4 linked regions of the Mus musculus genome follow. The protein of the gene in region 4 purifies or fractionates together with the protein of the main gene of each other region. This does not show direct contact. Links are inferred from orthologs where the notes say so. Each region holds a gene or a part of one and is shown on either strand. Other genes may lie near its edges.

Region 1 (4,395 bases), on a different chromosome or scaffold from region 4:
CCTCTGAACCAGAGCTACTTTCCCGGCTGACTTCAATCTGGAGCGAAGGCAAGCTATCCAGCCGACTCTTCTTCTGGCGAGACTCTTCTTTCTCCTTGATCAGAGCACCCCATGCTCTCTGAAGCTCCGAGTCATCTTCCTCAGCACCAGATGCCCTGTGATCCACTTTCTTCGTGTTCTTTTCTTTGGTCTTGGGTGTAGATCCTAAGCGAGTCCACAAACCACCTGTTGGGGTGAGAAGACACTTCAGTTGGCAGTCGATGCCGAGTACCAAGTAGTTCTGTGGAAGTAAGGACACTGCCAACACCTGCTCTGCAGGAAACATCGGGAGAGGTGCTTGGTGCCAGTCTGTAAGTGGACAGCCTGAGACTCGATGGGAGATGCTCACAGCTCAAGGCTGGTGTCCCCATACCAGGCACAAACTAGACACTTGCCTCTCTCCCAGGCTGTGTACCCCTCAGTCTGCCAAGAAACCGCCAACTCTCACATTCTGCAAACTGAACGGGTCTGTTTTACTATGAGCAATTCTCAGGTTTTCAGCTATACATTTTTAAAGTGTGTTTATGTATTGGCTGAAGGCCTTATTGGTTAAGCGTACTTGTTCTTGCAGAGGACCTGGTTATGTTTCCAACACCCACATGGTACCTTACAACAGTCCATAACTCCACTTCCAGGGGATCCAATGCCCTCTTCCCACCTCCAAGGGCACCAGACATGTACACAGTACACAGACAAACATGTAAGCAAAACATAAAAAAAATCCCCCAAAAGAAGTGTTTTATTAAAACCTTACAAAGAAGCATGTGTTTAGAATGTGGTGATATACATATACTACAAGATAATTAAAGGTTTAATTTACTTATGAAGAGTAAAGCAAAATGGAAGAGTTATAGAAAAAAAGGCTACATAAAAAAAAACTAGATATATGTGTGAACAAAGAAACTAAATAATGTGAAACTAAAAAGCAGCAAGGATGTATAGCTTCTCCTTTCTCCTTCCTGAACTTTCCTGTAGGCATGGTGCTGATGCTGATGTAGACAAAGGAAGTCATGCTAACTGAAGAGGGAACAAACACAGACCTACCTACTTCTTATGCTATAACCACTGGTCTCCACTCCTTCCCTTCCATCACTGTGAAGTGTTACTCACCTGATTTCCTCTCCCGAGTATCAGAGTAGAGGCCTTTAACATCTTGCCTGGGAACACCTAGCCTACTATGTACATCTGAAGAGGGCTCTCTCCGAACCACCTGGTTACTACTAAAAGCCTTCTCTGGAGAATACGGTCTTTTTCCTAACCGCTGGCGAATATCTGCCAAAAGAGAAAAAGTATACCTGTTACCAAGCATACGTGTTTTACCTCAGTACCAATGAACTAGGCTTTTGTCTTAGCCATGGCTGCCACTGCTGTGACAAAATACCACGATCAAAAGCAACCTGGGGAGGAAAGGTTTATTTCACTCACTCTCTATATAACAACTCATCAAAAGCAGTGAGGGCAGAAGCTCACAGAGCAGGAACCTGGAGGCAGGAGCTGATGCACAGCCACAGAGGAGTGCCGCTTACTGGCTTGCTTCTCGAATTTGCTCAGCCCGCTTCCTTATTCCTGGACCAACAGTGCAGGGGAGGTACTGCCCACAGTGTCTGAGCCCTCCCTCCCACAGTAATCGGCAATCAGGAAAATGCACCATAGGCTTCTCTACAAACTAATCCGGCAGGGGCATTTTCTCAGTTAAGGTTCCCTCCTCCATAACTCTTAAGCTGATTAAAAAAAAAAAAAGTCTGGCCAGCCACCAGATGGTGATGGTAAATGTCTTTAATCCCAGACCTCAAGAGGCAGAGGCACCAACCAAACAAACTAATCAGTACAGCTCTCTAGAGACCTGATCCCAAATCTCCCATAGTGAAGGCACAGCACCCAGCATCAGAAGGCTTCTAGAAGCCGGTTGGTTCTGTTCATAACTGGTCTTGCTTCTCTTAAGAAAACTTAAAACTTGGATGTAGGGGCTACCAGCTGAGTGCCTGAAGCAGTCTTCTTCTTTTTCTTCTTTTTTTCTTTTTTGCCAGAATCAAGCAAAACTAAGTAACACATCACATTTTCCAGCTAACAATACTGCAAGCCACAATCCTTGAAAACACAAGTAGTTCTCAATAAACTTACTACATTTAACCAACAAGTGTAATGAGACTGGCAACAGGCCAAGGATAAAGGAGCTGTGTCCTAAATTAAGTGTGCTCTCTTCCAAGTCCGTCACAGAGCCGCTGGGCCTGAGGTTTCCCCTAACACGCAGCAGCGACAGCAGCCACATGTTCATCAGCCTTGAGCCTACTCTTGACTTCTCAAGTAAACTCCTCACAAGAGCTCAGGCTGAGCCTCTTCAGTTGCTTCTCTTCCATCCTCCTCCTTCCCAGGGTTCCATTCTCACCCCTTCTGACGTCATTGTCCCTAAAAAGTTTAGCCCTTTTTACTTTGTCTTCTATGCCCACTATATTCTAATCCTTCAAAATCACCTCTTAAAATAAGAATCATATTATTTCCTCCCTCCAAAGATAGTTTGTCAGCTGTGTCCTAGTCCTCCCAAGACTACACTCTAAAGCTGCTTTCTTCAAAAACCGGCTCGAATCGTCTCAGCAGCTCTGTGGCAGCTGTTGCAGCCTCCCCAAAGACTTGCACATGCCAGCCCTAGCCATAAGCACACGCTTATATTGCTTCATTAGGGTTTGCTCACATATACACTCTAGTTCACACTCAACCATGTTTCTAACCACCCAACTTTATTGGTTTGGGGTATAAAATATCCCAGGGAAGTAATATTACTTATTTATTATTATTTAGTATTTATTTATTATTTCAAACAAAAAATACTGAAAAGTAGTTTTGTTGCAAAATCCGACTTTATTTATTTTCTCATGGACGCCTAACTAAAGATGTAGGTACAAGAAGAGGAACAGTTAATTGAGTTCAGAAGAACCTACCCTGGGCCCATCTGCTCTCAGGTGCTCACAAGCATCAGGATTAACTCTGAGGGGAAAGTATAGTGGCAGTTAGAAGCCAATGAATACCACAAAGTCACCCTGCACAACAAATCTCTCACCATACATTTATTGGGAAGGATACAGGAGGGTGGCTACCTCTGCTTGAGAGCAAAGAACTGAGCAGGACCCAGACTTTATATAGGTTTCCTTGGTGGTAGTGGTGGGATACTTTCCAGGGTGGCCTGGGATTTGTGGGATTTTGCTGCCAGATCTTGGACTTTTTCTTTCCTCTACAGGGCAGAGAGCTTGGCCACTTGCATACTGAGGGGCTGGAAACGTTAGAGTAATCTGGGATGGAACCAAGCCACTCAAGGGGCTTACAAAAAGGGAGTCAGGAGCACAAAAGAGGGAAGAACAATACCTGGTTTAGTACTGCTGACTGCTGGCCGTGGACAGGAATGCTGCCTCTTTTCATCTAAGAGATGACGGACATCTGCAAATTTCTCAGGAGGCAATTTGTTACCAATTCGGTTTTTTATATTGCTTGTGGATATACTATCTGCCCTCATGGGATTCCTTTAAGGGGGGGAAAAAGCAGAGAGATCATAAGTAACCAACTTCAACTGCGAGGAAAGATGCAAAAAAGTCTCCTACTTCAGAAAAACTCAGTTTAAGATGACCGTCACTGACTTACAACTACCACTGTAATAGCTCACTACGATCAACATGCTATGAAAAGATGGTGACCATTAACTAGACTGCAGACTTAGACAGGGTGGTTTCCACATGATGCCTGTACACTTTATCATAGAACACATAACTGATGCTCCCTTCACCAAGGGTAAGCAAACATTAAGCAGACAGCTGCAAAGAGGCTGAAACTCTGCTCACACAGGTACAGATGAGACCCTCCTCATGGGAGAGAGCATTACTCTGCTAGAATTCTTTCTTAGTTCTATAAAAACTAAGCACAGACATGTGAACAAAGCCATAAAGGCCTGCAGTCTCAGCGACCTGGACACTAAGGCAGGCTGCAGGCTGCTCACAACTTCACATGCTGGATATGTTACTCAGCACATTTAAATCCAGCATACTTGGTTTAGTGAGACCCTGCCTCAAATTTTCAAGTTTCTTCAAATTTAATTTTTTTTTTGTTTTTTTGTTTGTTTGATTTTTTTCGAGACAGGGTTTCTCTGTGTAGCCCTGGCTGTCCTGGAAATCACACTGTAGACCAGGATGGCCTCGAACCTCAGAAATCCGCCTGCTTCTGCCTCCCAAGTGCTGGGATTAAAGGTGTGCACCAACACGCCCAGCTCAAATTTAAATTTTTATAAAAGATTTAAATAAAATCTATACTTACTGAATCCTCTCATTAAAGTAACTATGTTCTCTATTTCAGAGGTCCACAAACATTGAGAAG
Region 2 (4,395 bases), on a different chromosome or scaffold from region 4:
GTCCTGTGTACCAGTCAATAACATTAAAACAGTTGGTATAAACCCTAAAAGAACCCAGAGCACTGTGTTACCTTCACCCTACAAAAGTTAACAGGCTCTTTGGAAAAGCATTGCCGTGGACAACAGGCAGAGAGTCCTAGCAGTGGGAAGGGGCTTCTTGGCTGTGGTGACCTCTCATCCTGCTGACCTTGTGGTGTGGGGCTGTCATCTGACTTAGTTGGGCTCCCCGCCTCTGACCCTGCTTGCTGGTGGTGTAGTCTTCTGTGTTGACCCTGCTTGCTGGTGGTGTAGTCTTCTGTGTTCATCCCATCCTGCAGATGAGTTGTTCTGTTTTCGGTGTGACCTCTCCAGGCTGTGCTTGGTGGGCATCTGGTGTGGCTCCCGCCCTGTGTGTCTCTCTCTGTGTCCTGCCAGTGGTTTTACCCTATGGTAGGTTACGTCATGCTGTTCTACCACAGGGTAGAACCACGGACAGGGTACTGGAGCACCCTCTGCATCGAAGGACTCCATCTACACAGCCACAAAGCCCAGCAGCCAGGGGCTGGCCCCCCTTGACTACGATTCCCCGATTGTTCCCCAATTGTTTAGCTCAAGCTCTGAAGGACCCTGAATTCTGGCTTGAGGCTTATATGTAGGGTGCAGATAGATGCTAAGGCGTCTATTGGGTGGGTGTTGGTTGAGATAAATGGATCCAAATCTGGGTTAGGGTATGCTAATGGGTTCTAGGGTGAAGGGAGGGAAACCTACAAGTGAGGTACCTATGGGGTACCCTGAAGGGATGAGGTGTCTAGAGGCCAAATGAGTCACAGAACTTTCAAGGTTCAGCTTTTGGGAAAATGCTACTGTGTATTCTTTACATTGCACTGCATACCAAATGGGGTGGAGCGGGGCGCTTACTGTCATAGAGCAGAAATGTTGTTGTAGTACATTTATTTATCTATTTATTTATTTATTTGGGGGCATAGGTGTTTAGGGGTTCTCATGGATCGTATACCATGTGTGGCGGTCAGAGGACAACTCCCAGGATTCAGTTCTCATCGTATGCCAAGTGGGTTCTAGGGATTACACTTGGTTGTCAGGCTTGGAAGCAAGAGCCTTTACCTGCCGAGCCTCCGTGCCAGCACAGCCCACAGTGCTTTAAAATGTTACCTTTGTATATGGTGCACAGCCCGCACAGTGAGGCATGGTGGCCCTGGGGGTGAGGAGCCGCTTTGCCATCCAGTGCTCTAGATATTGTAGCATAACTGTGCCCAGGGGGCTGAGAGGCACACACACGGGCTTTCCTGAGCACAAACTTCAGGTGCTGTCCTCTTCACCCAAGACCTGGGATGAGCTGGCTCACTGATCCCCCCAGGCACGTGCATTCAGGTGCTCTGACCCAGCAGAACCCCAGCTGCTGTGCAGAGGGTCCCATTGTCCTGTCCTCTCTTCCCTCACAGAGAGTGGTTTTTCCTCCTGTCCCATGAGGTGCTCAACCCTATGTACTGTTTGTTTGAATATGCTGGGAAGAACAATTACTGCCTGCAGATCAACCCGGCCTCTTCCATCAACCCTGACCACCTCACCTACTTCCGCTTTATCGGCAGATTCATCGCCATGGTAACCCCCAGGGATGCCTCCCTTCTTCTCTTCCTCTTTTGAGACCTTGGGAAGGGCAGCCCCAGAGGAGGCTGGCTCTAGTCACAGTCTAGTCGGCAGTGACATGAACAGCAGCCCTCGTGGACCAGGGTCCTGCCCCCTGACCAGGACTCACTGTGACTCTTCTCTTCCTCACATAATTCCTAACCTGGAAATTAAAACAAAACAAAACAAAACCCCAAGCTAGCTGGCTGTGGAGGAGTGAGAGATTTCACAGTGGCTGCCTAGGGCTATCACAGCATTTCTCATTTTGTGTAGAACTTACTGCATAGAAGCTCAGGGACTTCACCTGAGTCTATAGGGACTTAAAAGATGGGACTGGGCCAAGCAAAGCCCTACCATAGGGAAGGAACCTTTGGGGATGTCTGACTGAGACCCTGGGCCTTCTCAAGAGAGAGAGAGAGAGAGAGAGAGGGATCGGCATGGGCTTAGATGAGAGCCACAGTGAACTGGCTGGTGCAGAGCCAGGGGAGTCATCTAGAAATATAGGCTCAACCGATCAGTCGGCAGCGAGGCAGTCCTGCCGTGTCCTCTTTGATCCACATGAGCAGGGAGCCTGCGAAGCTGTGGTCCTACTGTGCTCCAGTGCCAGCTTTTCTAAGTCGAGGTCCCAAGTTTTCTCACACTTCCGTCTCTGGATTGCTAAGGGACCTACAGCTCTGTCACTAAATATGGCCATTCCTGTCATCTGAAAGGTCTTGACTAAGTGCTTGCAATGGCTCCAGAAGTGGGCACATTCTTCCTGGGTCTGAGACCTACCTGGCCTAGCATCCAGCAAGGACAGAACAGTGAAAGTCCCAGACTGTTACTCACTGCCGGCGGCCAGCTAGCGCCAGCCTCAGTGTCTGCATTATTTTTGGCCCCTTGTGCCACCCTCTCAGAGTGCCAGAGAGCCAGGGCTGCCACCTGGAGCTGTTATGAACAAGTTTTCTCTGGAAATGGGGATAGGCCTTTGCTAGAAGCAGGAGTGGCCTGGCTGGTGTGCTAGGCAGACAGTGGGCCGACATTGCCCTTCCCTGTGGTTTTTGGTGTGGGATGAATCTGTCCCTGTGTCCAAGTTTTAAAAAAGTAAAAAGAAAAAAAAAAAAGAAAAAGAAAGAAAAAGAAAAAGAAAAGTAGGGCTGGTGAGATGGCTCAGTGGGTTAGAGCACCCGACTGCTCTTCCGAAGGTCCAGAGTTCAAATCCCAGCAACCACATGGTGGCTCACAACCATCCGTAACGAGATCTGACTCCCTCTTCTGGTGTGTCTGAAGACAGCTACAATGTACTTACATATAATAAATAAATAAATCTTAAAAAAAAAAAAAAAAAAAAAAAAAAAAAAAAAAAGAAAAAGAAAAGTAGAAAGTGCTGTTTCCCAGGCCTCCCTTTAGCTAGGCCAGCTGGCTGTCAGGGAGGAGGGCAGCCGTCAGCAGAAACGCACCTAAGTCGTCCTCTGCTGCCATCCCAGGAAGGTGAAGCAAGCCCTTTGCTCCGTCTCCTCCCTGTCCAGGCTCTGTACCATGGGAAGTTCATCGACACAGGCTTCACTCTCCCTTTCTACAAGCGGATGCTCAACAAGAGACCGACTCTGAAGGACCTGGAGTCTATTGACCCTGAGTTTTACAACTCCATTGTCTGGATCAAGTGAGTCCTGGCTTGCCCTGTGCTGATGGAGCAGGGTTCTCATGGGCCAGTTGGCACCCCTGGCCTTGGTTTCCTAGGTACCTACATAGCCTCATAGCCTCTCTAAGGCCTATAGAGCTTCTAGTTGCCCTGTAGGACAGACAGATCTACAATTCTCTCCCTGCAGCAGAAAATGTGCCGAGGCACAGGTCAGGGTTCCTGGTCACCTGTGAGTTCCTAGTGTCTCTCGGGGCGGGGCGGGGGGGGGGTTGGAGGGGGCAGTGAGAAGTCAGGCCAGTCAAGACAGACCTTGGTAAGATGGACATTTCCCCCTGGCCTCCTGTGTCCTAGAGAGAACAACCTGGAAGAGTGTGGTCTGGAGCTGTTTTTCATCCAGGACATGGAGATTCTGGGCAAGGTGACAACCCATGAACTGAAGGAGGGCGGTGAGAACATCCGAGTTACCGAGGAGAACAAGGAGGAGTATATCATGTGAGCCTCCACCTGGGGAAGGGAGCATGTTACAGAGGAAAGGAATCTATCTACCCTTGTGTGTGTACAGTGTGTGGCCTGTCTGCCTTGGTTGGTCCGTAATGACTGGAGCTATGGGATGTGGAGCCTCTGGCCTTGGGTGCCAGCTCTGGGGTGGGCTCCTGCATTCAAGAGGCTTCCCAGCTCCAGGGAACTTTGTAAAGAAATACAAGGCCTGGATGCTGCCATCTCTCCTGACCTCTTTTTGTCCAGTGTGTTTCAGCCTTCGGGCTCTCTAATGCTGATGTATAACCCCCACCCCACTCAGGTTCTTTAGGCCTCTTGGTCTAGTCCATTAAACCTTACCTGGGTGTCTGAGGTCCAGCAGTTAAAAGGCATGATGTCCCGGGCTCCATCTTTGGTTTTAGGCTGCTGACTGACTGGCGATTCACCCGAGGCGTGGAAGAGCAGACCAAAGCTTTCCTGGATGGCTTCAATGAGGTTGCCCCTCTGGAGTGGTTGAGATATTTTGATGAGAAAGAGCTGGAGGTGGGTGCCAAAGATTGGGAGTCCTTGACCTCAGTGCTTCTAGGGTGCCCCAGCTCCACGATACATACCTACAGAACTCGCACACCAAGTCCCACATTTTGGCAAGCTAAATGCAGCAGGATGGGAACTGT
Region 3 (4,395 bases), on a different chromosome or scaffold from region 4:
CTGGGTAGGGTCAGTGTACACTGAGTGGTCCTGGTTTTAGGGTTGCTGATGGTTTTTACTCTCTATACCTCTCTTGAAGCTGCGGGTCAGATTCCAGCCACTGCCCTTCTCCCGACCATGACTCCTGATGGTCTGGCTGTGACCCCAACGCCAGTGCCTGTGGTTGGGAGCCAGATGACCAGACAGGCCAGACGTCTCTACGTGGGCAACATCCCTTTTGGCATTACTGAGGTACTGCCCTCCTCCTACCCCTGCCCTCTCCCCTGTTTCCCCACCCTGTGCCTCCCCACCCTCCATTCCCTTTCCCCAACCTGCACGCGTCAGACTCTGTTCCTGCAAGACCCCCCGGCCCCCTCCCAGACGGACGGATGGAGTTGAGCCAGCCAGGGGCCGGGCTGGGGGTGGCCCCTCCCTCCCTCCTCTTCCCCTCTCCCGTCTCCCTTTCCCCAACCTCCTCCAGCAACCCAGGGATCAAACACACACATAACGTACCCACCTACATATTGTACCTACGTGTTGGAGAGAGACAGAGAGGGAGACTCAACACACGTACAAACAGACGCACGCCCCTACAGTTTTCTGACATGCTCTCCTTTTCTGCCGTCTATCCACATCCTTTTCCCCACATCCCTCCCATGGTCGCTGTTCTTTTGTTTTTGGTAGTCCTGACCTCCCCCACCTTCCCCACCGCTCCTCTCCCCCATCCCTCTCCCCCACCCCTTCCCGTGGCACCCCCTGAGAATCCCGAGATCAAAGAGTTGTTTCCATTTCTCTTTAAAGTGAAATATTGTGGGGCTGAGATCCCTCGTAGCAACAAAAAGTTTGCTACCATCGTTGAAGGCAAGTAAGGTCCATTCTGACTTTCTCAACCTGCACTTTGCTACATTTGATAAACCAGCCCCCGGACTCCAGGGCCAGATCCCTCCACATCACTCTTTTCTCCTCCCCTCCCGCCCTACCCCTTCTTCCCCTGCTCCTCCACCCCTCCCCGCCCCTGCACTCTACTTGTTCTGCCTCTCTGGGCACCCTTCCTGTCCCTTTGCTTGTCTTTCTCTTCCTGCCTGTTGCTCTCCTACCCTTTCCTGCCTTGTTTGCAATGGGCATTTCTTCCTTGTGTCATCATGTTTTTTGTTTTTGTTTTTTTTTCCTCTTGCTGTCACATCCTTTCATCTTTTCTTGAATAACTTTTCCTAACTTTTTGGGCTCCATGGCTCATCCCTCATGCCTGTCCTCCTGTCTGGCCCATTTGCTCCCTGTCTCCTGTCCTTTGGTATTGCTTCTTCTCTGTTTTCTCATTTTCCTCCTGCATTTTTTCCTACTATTGACCTCTACACCCCTGACCCATATTCCACTGTCCCTTTCCCTCCCCGTTCTCCCTTCCCCCATTCCTCTCCCCTTACCCCCAAACCCCTCTGTGTCTCCCTCTCTCACCCTTCCCCTCCTCTCTCCACCTCCCTCCCCGCCCTTCCCTGTCTCCTATTCCCTCTGCAGGAGGCTATGATGGACTTCTTCAACGCCCAGATGCGCTTGGGAGGGTTGACTCAGGCCCCTGGCAACCCAGTCTTGGCTGTGCAGATAAATCAAGACAAGAATTTTGCCTTTTTGGAGGTGAGTTTTCCAGTGATAAGGGTAAGGGGTAGTAGGGATGGTCTGTGCTGCCTACTCTGACTGCTTTCCCTGCAGCTCATTTTCCATTTGGCTGCTGGAGTAGTTCTGTAGTCCTGTCCTACCTTATGCCTTCCTATGCTCTACCTCACTGGGAGGACTTTGTGGCTTCTTCCTGCTTTGTTGGTTTTTGAGACTATTCTGGCCCAGTCCACTCTGCTTAGGCTACATTGATCTTGCAGAGGGCTCGATGTTTCTCCCTATTTGGGGCCTAGGTTGAGGCAGTTTACTCTCGGTGTTTATACGTTACGTTTGGGCAGTTCGTTAGTTTGGAACTGTCTGTAAAGACCTAGCTCGACTCTGGGGTCATACTCCTAAAAACCGTGGGGTGTTGGCATGACCAAGGCTGCGGAAGAGGTTTTTCAGTGTTCCCTTTTCAGACTGCATTGCCCATAAGAGTCCACTTTGATTTGTACTCTTGGAGACTAATGTCACTTCATCAGAAAGCCTGGGCTGTCATTGCCACGTAACTTAGTTGACCTAACTTTTCTATGCTGGCTTCTCAGCAGTTGGTCCCTTTCCAACATTGTCAGAGTTTATGATAGTGTGCTTGCTATCTGCTGGGTGCGAGGATATTGCTTTCTAGAGTGTGAGCTTCTAGAAGCTATCTGGTAGTGCTTGTTCCCATTGTTCATTATGGGTTTGGTACTATGTTTGTTTATATAAGTGGGAGGAAAGTTAAGAGTCTTGGGGGCTGGTCTAGTCCCAACCTACCCCTTAGCTCTGTTGTTTCTCTTCCTTCAGTTCCGGTCAGTGGATGAGACGACCCAGGCCATGGCATTTGATGGCATCATCTTCCAGGGCCAGTCATTGAAGATTCGAAGGCCTCATGACTATCAGCCATTGCCTGGCATGTCAGAGAACCCCTCTGTTTATGTGCCTGGTGAGTGGGAATTCGTTGGGTGGGTGGTATGGGGAGTCACTGTTTCCTCAACCCAGGTTCCTGTACTTAGTCCAGCTAGAGTTGCTTTGGAGATAGTGTGTGTGCGCTGTGGATGTTCTTCTAGCTTGGCAGGTGTCCTGGGCCTTTGAGGTGGTGATCTGTGATCTTCAATCTTAAAGTTTAGCTTAGCTTGTAAATGTCAGAGCCAGGTCCAGATCAGAGGTGTCCTGGAAAGTGTGGGACTTGCAGTCTGGGCATTGTTTTTACCTTGTCCCCTTAGCCCTGGGATTTTAGGGCTTGATGTGTTGTGTATGCTATGTATTTGTAAGTACATATCAACAGATCTTTGCATGGTTCTGGTGTGTGGCCCTAGCATGTTAGTGTTCACTGATTCCATGTCTTTGGCATGTGTTCTGTACTGTTTCCTATAATTGTATATAGTATAACCTCTGATTGGTAGGTCACGATAGATCTTTACTGTTTAAGCTACAGACGGGGTCATTAGAAATTTGGATTTTTTGTGATCCCCCCCCCCCCCCCCCAATTCTGCACTAATCTTTCAGTGTTTAGCTGTAGTTTGCTGGCCTTTCCTTTGGCAGGTCAGGCGGGATGAGCTGGGATTTGCAGGCTGTATGACCCCTGCTGAGCTTCAGGAAACACTGGTGCTGGGGTCCAGCTGAGTCAGTGAGGCCCAGGTCTGAGGCTGATTGCAGTGAATGTGGGGTCCTCCGAGTAGATGCTCAGCATCAGAGGGTGCCCACTGGAACCAGGTCAAGTCACCCCTTCTCTATAGAGGAAGGAGCACATTTCTGGTAGTGTAGGACTTGGGGTTAGGGCCTGACTACCGAATGCTTTCTTACTGCAAGTTCTGGTCACATACCTGAGTCTAAAGCTAGCATGCTCTTGAAAGTATTGCTTGGAGAAGATTCACAGTGGTACTGGGGCTTGAACTCCAGTCCTTGTGCTTGTCAGGAAAGCACTTACTGTCTAACCTGAATCCCAAGCCCCTTTTTAAGTTCTCATTTTGAGGTAGGGTCTCACTAAGTTTGCCTAGACAGGCCTGGAACTTGGGGGCCTCCTTCCCCCAGCTGCATGGGTAGTTGGGATTATAGCCCTGTGCCACTAGGTCCTGCTTGCTTACTGACTTTCAGGTGAAGCTGTAGAACATCTTTTTTTTGTATCTCTTGGCACTAAATTCATTGTTTGGATTGCTCTTTAATTCCATGAATAGACAGCCACCTGCTGGTTTTACTGACACAGTGTGGCATGCCAGGTATTGCCTGTTCCTGAATCTTCTTTTAGCCTTCACTCAGCTAATTATGACTTGGAAGTCAGTTGTGACCCACTGCTTGGTTTTTTGTTGTTGTTGTTTGTTTTTCAAGACAGGGTTTCTCTGTGTAGCCCTTGCTGTCCTGGAACTCGATCTGTAGACCAGGCTGACCTCGAGCTCAGAAATGTCTCCCGAGTGCTGGGATTAAAGGTGTGCGCCACCACGCCTGGCCCACTGCTTGTTTTTACAAATAAATTTTGGCACAGTGTCATTCCTTTTATATTACTTTTATTACTGGTCTCATTGTGGTATTAGGAATTGAACTTAGAGCCTTGCATATGCTAAGCAGGTGGTTCGCCACATGGGGATACTCTCAGCCTTTTTACTAGTAGTTTGAGGCAGGCTTTCTCTGTGTTTCCCAGGGAGGCCTTGAACTTTGGATCTTCCTGCAGAGTTGGATTATAAGCTTGTACCAGCAGGCCTAGCTGTAGTTTTTTGACACATGGTATAACTGTATCTTAGACTGGCCTCTTAACTTGATTTTCTGCCCCCAGTATTGAGATCACAAGCATGTGCC
Region 4 (4,851 bases):
AATACACTAACAACCTAAGTCTCATCTTACCTCGCAATAAAGCTTAATACTCCAGTCTCATACTTTCTGCAATTTATTGTGCTTTGCCAAAATACAAAAAGCCTTTTAAAAGTATACCATTTTAAATAGTAAAAAGAGACTAATGACTAGACAGAGTTTCAAAGTACAATTAAAACTGCAGCTCACATTAGACAACAAAAGATGTGTTTAGGGGCTAGAGAAATGGCTAAATGGTTAGAGCACAGGCTGCTCTTCAGAGCACTCACATTTAACTCCTAGCACTTATGTGGTTGATCACAGGCCTCATAACTCTCGTTCCAGGAAGTCTGACTCCCTTTTCTGGATTCCTTGGGCACCAGGCACCCACCTAGTGAAGACATTCATGCAGGAAAAAAGACTCATACAGGTTTTTTAAAAAAGAAGACAGACAGGGCTGGTGAGATGGCTTCAGTGGTTAAGAGCACTGACTTCTTTTCCAAAGGTACTGAGTTCAAATCCCAGCAACCACATGGTGGCTCACGGCCACCCATAATGAGATCTGATGCCCTCTTCTGGTGTGTTTGAAGACAGCTACGGTGAACTTATAATAATAAATAAATATTTGGGCCGGAGCTAGTGGGGTTGGCCAGAGCAAGCAGAGGTCCTAAATTCAATTCCCAACGATCACATAAAGGCTCACAACCATCTGTATGTACTCATATACATAAAATAAATCTTTTAAAAAATGTTTGTTAAAAAAAAAAGAAGACAGAGAAAGAAAGAAAAAGTAAATAATAATACAAAACTTAACTTTTATAAATGTTTAAAACTCAAAATAATTTAAAACATCTAATGATCAGTTCTGAAAAATATTTTGCTCAACTACAGTCAAATAATCACACTGGTTACTATAGCAGCGAGTAGAAATAAGGTTACCATCTATTAAGAGAGACCAGATTACTAGGGATGTTGCAGAGGAGTAAAGTGCCTAGCATGTGCAAAGACCTGAGTGCAAACTCCCAACGGTAAGGGTAAGGAGGGAAAAAGGAGCCAGACACAGGCTACAATCCAAGCACTGGGGAGGGGGAGGCAGCAGGTGGTGCAATCATAAATTAAAAAAAAAAAAAAAAAGTAAACCTGGGATACACAATAAGTTCTAAGTCAACAAAGCTACAAGACTGGGGGACTAGGGGGGGACCCAAAAACAAAACCTAACAAAAAGGAGGGAGGGAGGGAGGGAGGGAGGGAGGGAGGGAGGGACCAGAAAATTAAATCAATAAATAATTTTGTTGTTGCTTTTAATTCTGGTAGAATCTCAGAATGATAGGGTAATCAATGACAGTAACACAGAAAATATAACAAATCTTAAGATAACTGGCAACCTTTCTGTGGCTACTTTTCTTGTTCAAAATTCAGAGCAAGCAAATCATAAAAGTCAATTATACGAAGAAAACAGTAACAAGTAATGCCTCCGGAGCGAGGCTATAGCTCAGGGTCGAATGCTTAGCCAGATGTGCAAAGCCCTGGGTTCATTCAGTATCCAGAGCTGCAAACAAGGTATTTTGGGAAAAGTTACTTAAATCTCCCAATTAATCTACTTAAACCTACAAAGATTTTACTTGTAAAAGTACACAACCACGTATTAGATACAATGCTAAAAGTACCAAGTCAACGAAAAGCTACAGTTATAAAAAAGAGGCCTACAAAGTAGTTCCTCGTTGAGGTCAAAAAAGTTTAACCTCTCCAGGCACTCGGAAGGCAGAGGCAGAGGCAGAGGCAGGCGGATCTCTCTGAGTTCGAGGCCAGCCTCGACTACAGAATGAGTTCCAGAACAGCCAGGGCTACACAGAGAAACTCTGTCAGCAGTAATTAAAATCCTACGACAATTTGCTTTTCTTTTCTAACATTTAAGCCAAAAGCACAGTCATTCTTGAAAAACGAAGCAGTAAGGATTTAAGAGTTTTCACTGTTTCGTTCAAGTCTTATATCCCTAGTCATAAACAATGGAGGGAAAACGCCATACAAACCAATGGCATTTTATTCAGGTTCTCATCCGTACCTTAGAATTTTTTAATATGGTGGGGTGTAAATTTGAAAACCGTGAATATAGGAAATGCACTAAAAAAAAAAAAATATTTAGAGGGCAGTAAGAGGCTAGACGATCCAAACCCTGGCAAGCAGACCCTTCCAAGGATATTTATTCATCATGAGACGCTGGTTCTAGGCATCCCAGGCGGGTGAGACCGGAAAACCTTACACGTCTCACTTTCTCCAGCCTTTCAAACCGTGAAGTCGAGCCCACAGGGCAAACACTTCGCTTTCAAACTACAGTCACGTTCACAACGACTTGTCAGGCACGCTACCCAGGATTCCGATTCCGAGTGGCCGGTCTCCCTTTCAGTCTCTCCGGTCTGTTAAGCTAGGATACCACCATCTTTTTTGTTCTGTCCAGCCACCGCGCTCCCAAGTCTTTGGCGCAAGCCATTTATCCTCTCCGATATTTCGCTTCACAAAGGCCAAGGACTGGGCCTCGGAGGCACTGCAAACCCTCGATGACCAAGGCGGGCCGACGCACCGACTTTTAAATGCGATCGGTGGCTCCAAAAGTCAGATGACTTGTTGCGGATGGAACCAAACCTAAGCAGCCTTCCCTTAAGGGGACCGGCGAGCAAGGAACCGGGCGCCACGCCGAAACCCGTCGCAAAGGCGAGCGGGAGCCCAGGGAGAGCGGGCGCGCGGGATACAAAGGGCTGTGAACGCGGCCTTCCATGAGGCGACCGTGCGCGGACAGAGACACAAAATGGAGCGGCGGGAGGAGGAATCGGAACCCGAGGCGGCAGGGCCGGGATGGAGGCGGCGGGCGAGCGCGCGGCCGGGCCAGGGCTTCCCCTCTGGCCGGCCGCGGGGGAGGGGGCGCGGCGGCCCGTTCTCCCCGCCCCGCACACGCGGCCTAGCTCGGCGGGAAGCGCCCGCCACCGAGCCAACAATGGAGCGGGAGACCGTCCGGAGGAACCGGGCGGGCGGCTGCAGGGCGACCGGGCCCCGCGCTCCAGAGCCCCGCGGCCCGCAAAACGACGCGCGAGAACAAGGGCTGAGGGGCCGTCGCGCACGGCGGCGCGGCCCGGAGGCGCCAAGGGCGCACGGTCTGCAGCGAAGCCGGCTCGCGGCCCGCGGCGGCCCTGGTCAGCCGGGCGTCCGGGCCGCGGCACAGTCTGCGGCGGCGGCGGCGGCGGAGCCCGGACCCTCACGTACCTGGTTGAACTCTTCACCCACATCCGCGTAAATGTCTATGTGGTCCACACCGTCCGCCATCTTCCCTCGGCCTCGGCCGCCGCCGCCGCCGCCTCCTGCAGGTCGGCCCGCCGAGGCAGCAGCAGCGGATCTGGCGGTGGGGGCGGGGCGCCCTACGTCACTTCCGAGGGGCGGAGACCAGGGCGCAGCGGCCCGCTGCTGGTGACGGGGGACCCCGCCGAAGGTCCGCGGCGGTTCCGAGGCGCTAACTCGTTCCTTTGTGTGCAGGATTAAGCCGCGGCTGGGGCAGGGGCGTGATTTCCTGTGCTACCCCGCCATACCGCATGCCATGGAACCCGCTTGTTTTCAGAGACTGTCTTTTCAAACTGCTTCTGGCACTATTTATCTATCTACATATCTATAGATGAGAGATCTATCTAGTGAGAGATATAGATATATATACATCTATATAGAGAGAGATAGATATTTATATATTTGCGTTTTCATTTTTTTCCTACTTTTTTTTTTTTTTTTTGCTTCCAAGGTTTCGAGAGATGAGAGTTATGTGTACGCAATTAAAAGCGAGATATGATGTCCTGGCCAATGTCTTATTCTTGCTTCTTCAGACAACTGAATTTTTTGAGTTATTTGCATATAGCATATTTGCATCTCTTATCTTTATGCAGTTGTAAGCATCTTTTCCGCTCCTTCCTTCACATCCTCCTCTTCCCCCTTCCTCCCCCATTGCCCTTGCTTTTACCTTTTTATCTCTGTTGTAGGTTTTCTCCAGCCATCGTTCAAAGGATTCTATCCTCATTTTTAGAGCACGTACAACAGAGCAGATGTATCCTAAATCAACGAACTCCTGGATTCAGAATGCTGAGCTAGAAGGGAAATTAAAACGGTGGCTTGAGGTCCAAACATCCCGTTTTACAGATGAGAGAACTAAGGACTCGTAGAGCATAAGTTATTTAACTGGGGTTACATGGCTCGTAAAAGTGCACACCTTTTGACGCCGATATATGATTCAGAGATCTCTCTCCATTTCCAACGGCTCCACCTATTTCTTTCCTTCCCGTTCAAAAACTCACCAGGTCACTCAGCTGCCTGTGTGCTTGATATAAATTCAGTTCCCACAGCGCTCTCAAGGAGCGTAGAGAGAACCGAACCAAATCCTCTTAAGTAGTCCTCTGATCTACTCAGCACCTCTGACTGCTCTCACTTCCAGCCCCACCCTGCCAAACAAATTAACAAAAAAGCAAAACAATAACCAAAATAATAATAATAACAAAAATACCAGATGCAGACTGGTCTGAAATCATCAAAAACCTAAAGAAACATCTATGCTTGAGATGTCTGTAAAATCTTGGTTGCAGTCACAGAGACTAATCTCTTAATCTGAATAAACATTTCTTTAAATTCCTTTTTTATACATCGGGGTGTTTTGCCTGCATACAGTCTGTGTACTACACATGTGTGCAGTGTCCTGGGAGCGCGCAAAAAAGGACATCAGTCGACTAAGACTGGTATTAGACAGGTTTATGAACCACTACATGGGTGCTGGGAATCAGACCCTGACCCCGGAAGAGAATCCAGCGCTATTGACCACGGTACAAACGGGACTTAACGATGGCCACCGCT

Evidence for each region.
Region 1: the proteins of Cpsf6 (region 4) and Ncbp3 purify together in Homo sapiens (co-immunoprecipitation; 3 studies listed by BioGRID and IntAct, with this or other methods). This does not show direct contact. The link is inferred for Mus musculus from reciprocal best matches to the Homo sapiens genes CPSF6 and NCBP3.
Region 2: the proteins of Cpsf6 (region 4) and Wwp2 purify together in Homo sapiens (affinity purification with mass spectrometry; 3 studies listed by BioGRID and IntAct, counting the BioPlex papers as one, with this or other methods). This does not show direct contact. The link is inferred for Mus musculus from reciprocal best matches to the Homo sapiens genes CPSF6 and WWP2.
Region 3: the proteins of Cpsf6 (region 4) and U2af2 fractionate together in Homo sapiens (co-fractionation; 3 studies listed by BioGRID, with this or other methods). This does not show direct contact. The link is inferred for Mus musculus from reciprocal best matches to the Homo sapiens genes CPSF6 and U2AF2.

The regions. Positions count from the first base shown.
Region 1 is NC_000077.6:73,074,771-73,079,165, reverse strand, and holds part of Ncbp3 (nuclear cap-binding protein subunit 3), read right to left. Parts: intron 3,552-4,395; coding exon 3,397-3,551; intron 1,312-3,396; coding exon 1,150-1,311; intron 226-1,149; coding exon 1-225. UniProt on the Homo sapiens protein: Associates with NCBP1/CBP80 to form an alternative cap-binding complex (CBC) which plays a key role in mRNA export. NCBP3 serves as adapter protein linking the capped RNAs (m7GpppG-capped RNA) to NCBP1/CBP80.
Region 2 is NC_000074.6:107,550,838-107,555,232, forward strand, and holds part of Wwp2 (NEDD4-like E3 ubiquitin-protein ligase WWP2), read left to right. Parts: intron 1-406; exon of another isoform or gene 407-476; intron 477-1,439; coding exon 1,440-1,599; intron 1,600-3,131; coding exon 3,132-3,265; intron 3,266-3,595; coding exon 3,596-3,736; intron 3,737-4,143; coding exon 4,144-4,264; intron 4,265-4,395. UniProt on the Homo sapiens protein: E3 ubiquitin-protein ligase which accepts ubiquitin from an E2 ubiquitin-conjugating enzyme in the form of a thioester and then directly transfers the ubiquitin to targeted substrates.
Region 3 is NC_000073.6:5,067,953-5,072,347, forward strand, and holds part of U2af2 (splicing factor U2AF 65 kDa subunit), read left to right. Parts: intron 1-79; coding exon 80-231; intron 232-780; exon of another isoform or gene 781-840; intron 841-1,491; coding exon 1,492-1,608; intron 1,609-2,409; coding exon 2,410-2,548; intron 2,549-4,395. UniProt on the Homo sapiens protein: Plays a role in pre-mRNA splicing and 3'-end processing. By recruiting PRPF19 and the PRP19C/Prp19 complex/NTC/Nineteen complex to the RNA polymerase II C-terminal domain (CTD), and thereby pre-mRNA, may couple transcription to splicing.
Region 4 is NC_000076.6:117,373,608-117,378,458, forward strand, and holds the start of Cpsf6 (cleavage and polyadenylation specificity factor subunit 6), read right to left. Parts: upstream 3,367-4,851; 5' UTR 3,292-3,366; coding exon 3,232-3,291; intron 1-3,231. UniProt on the Homo sapiens protein: Component of the cleavage factor Im (CFIm) complex that functions as an activator of the pre-mRNA 3'-end cleavage and polyadenylation processing required for the maturation of pre-mRNA into functional mRNAs.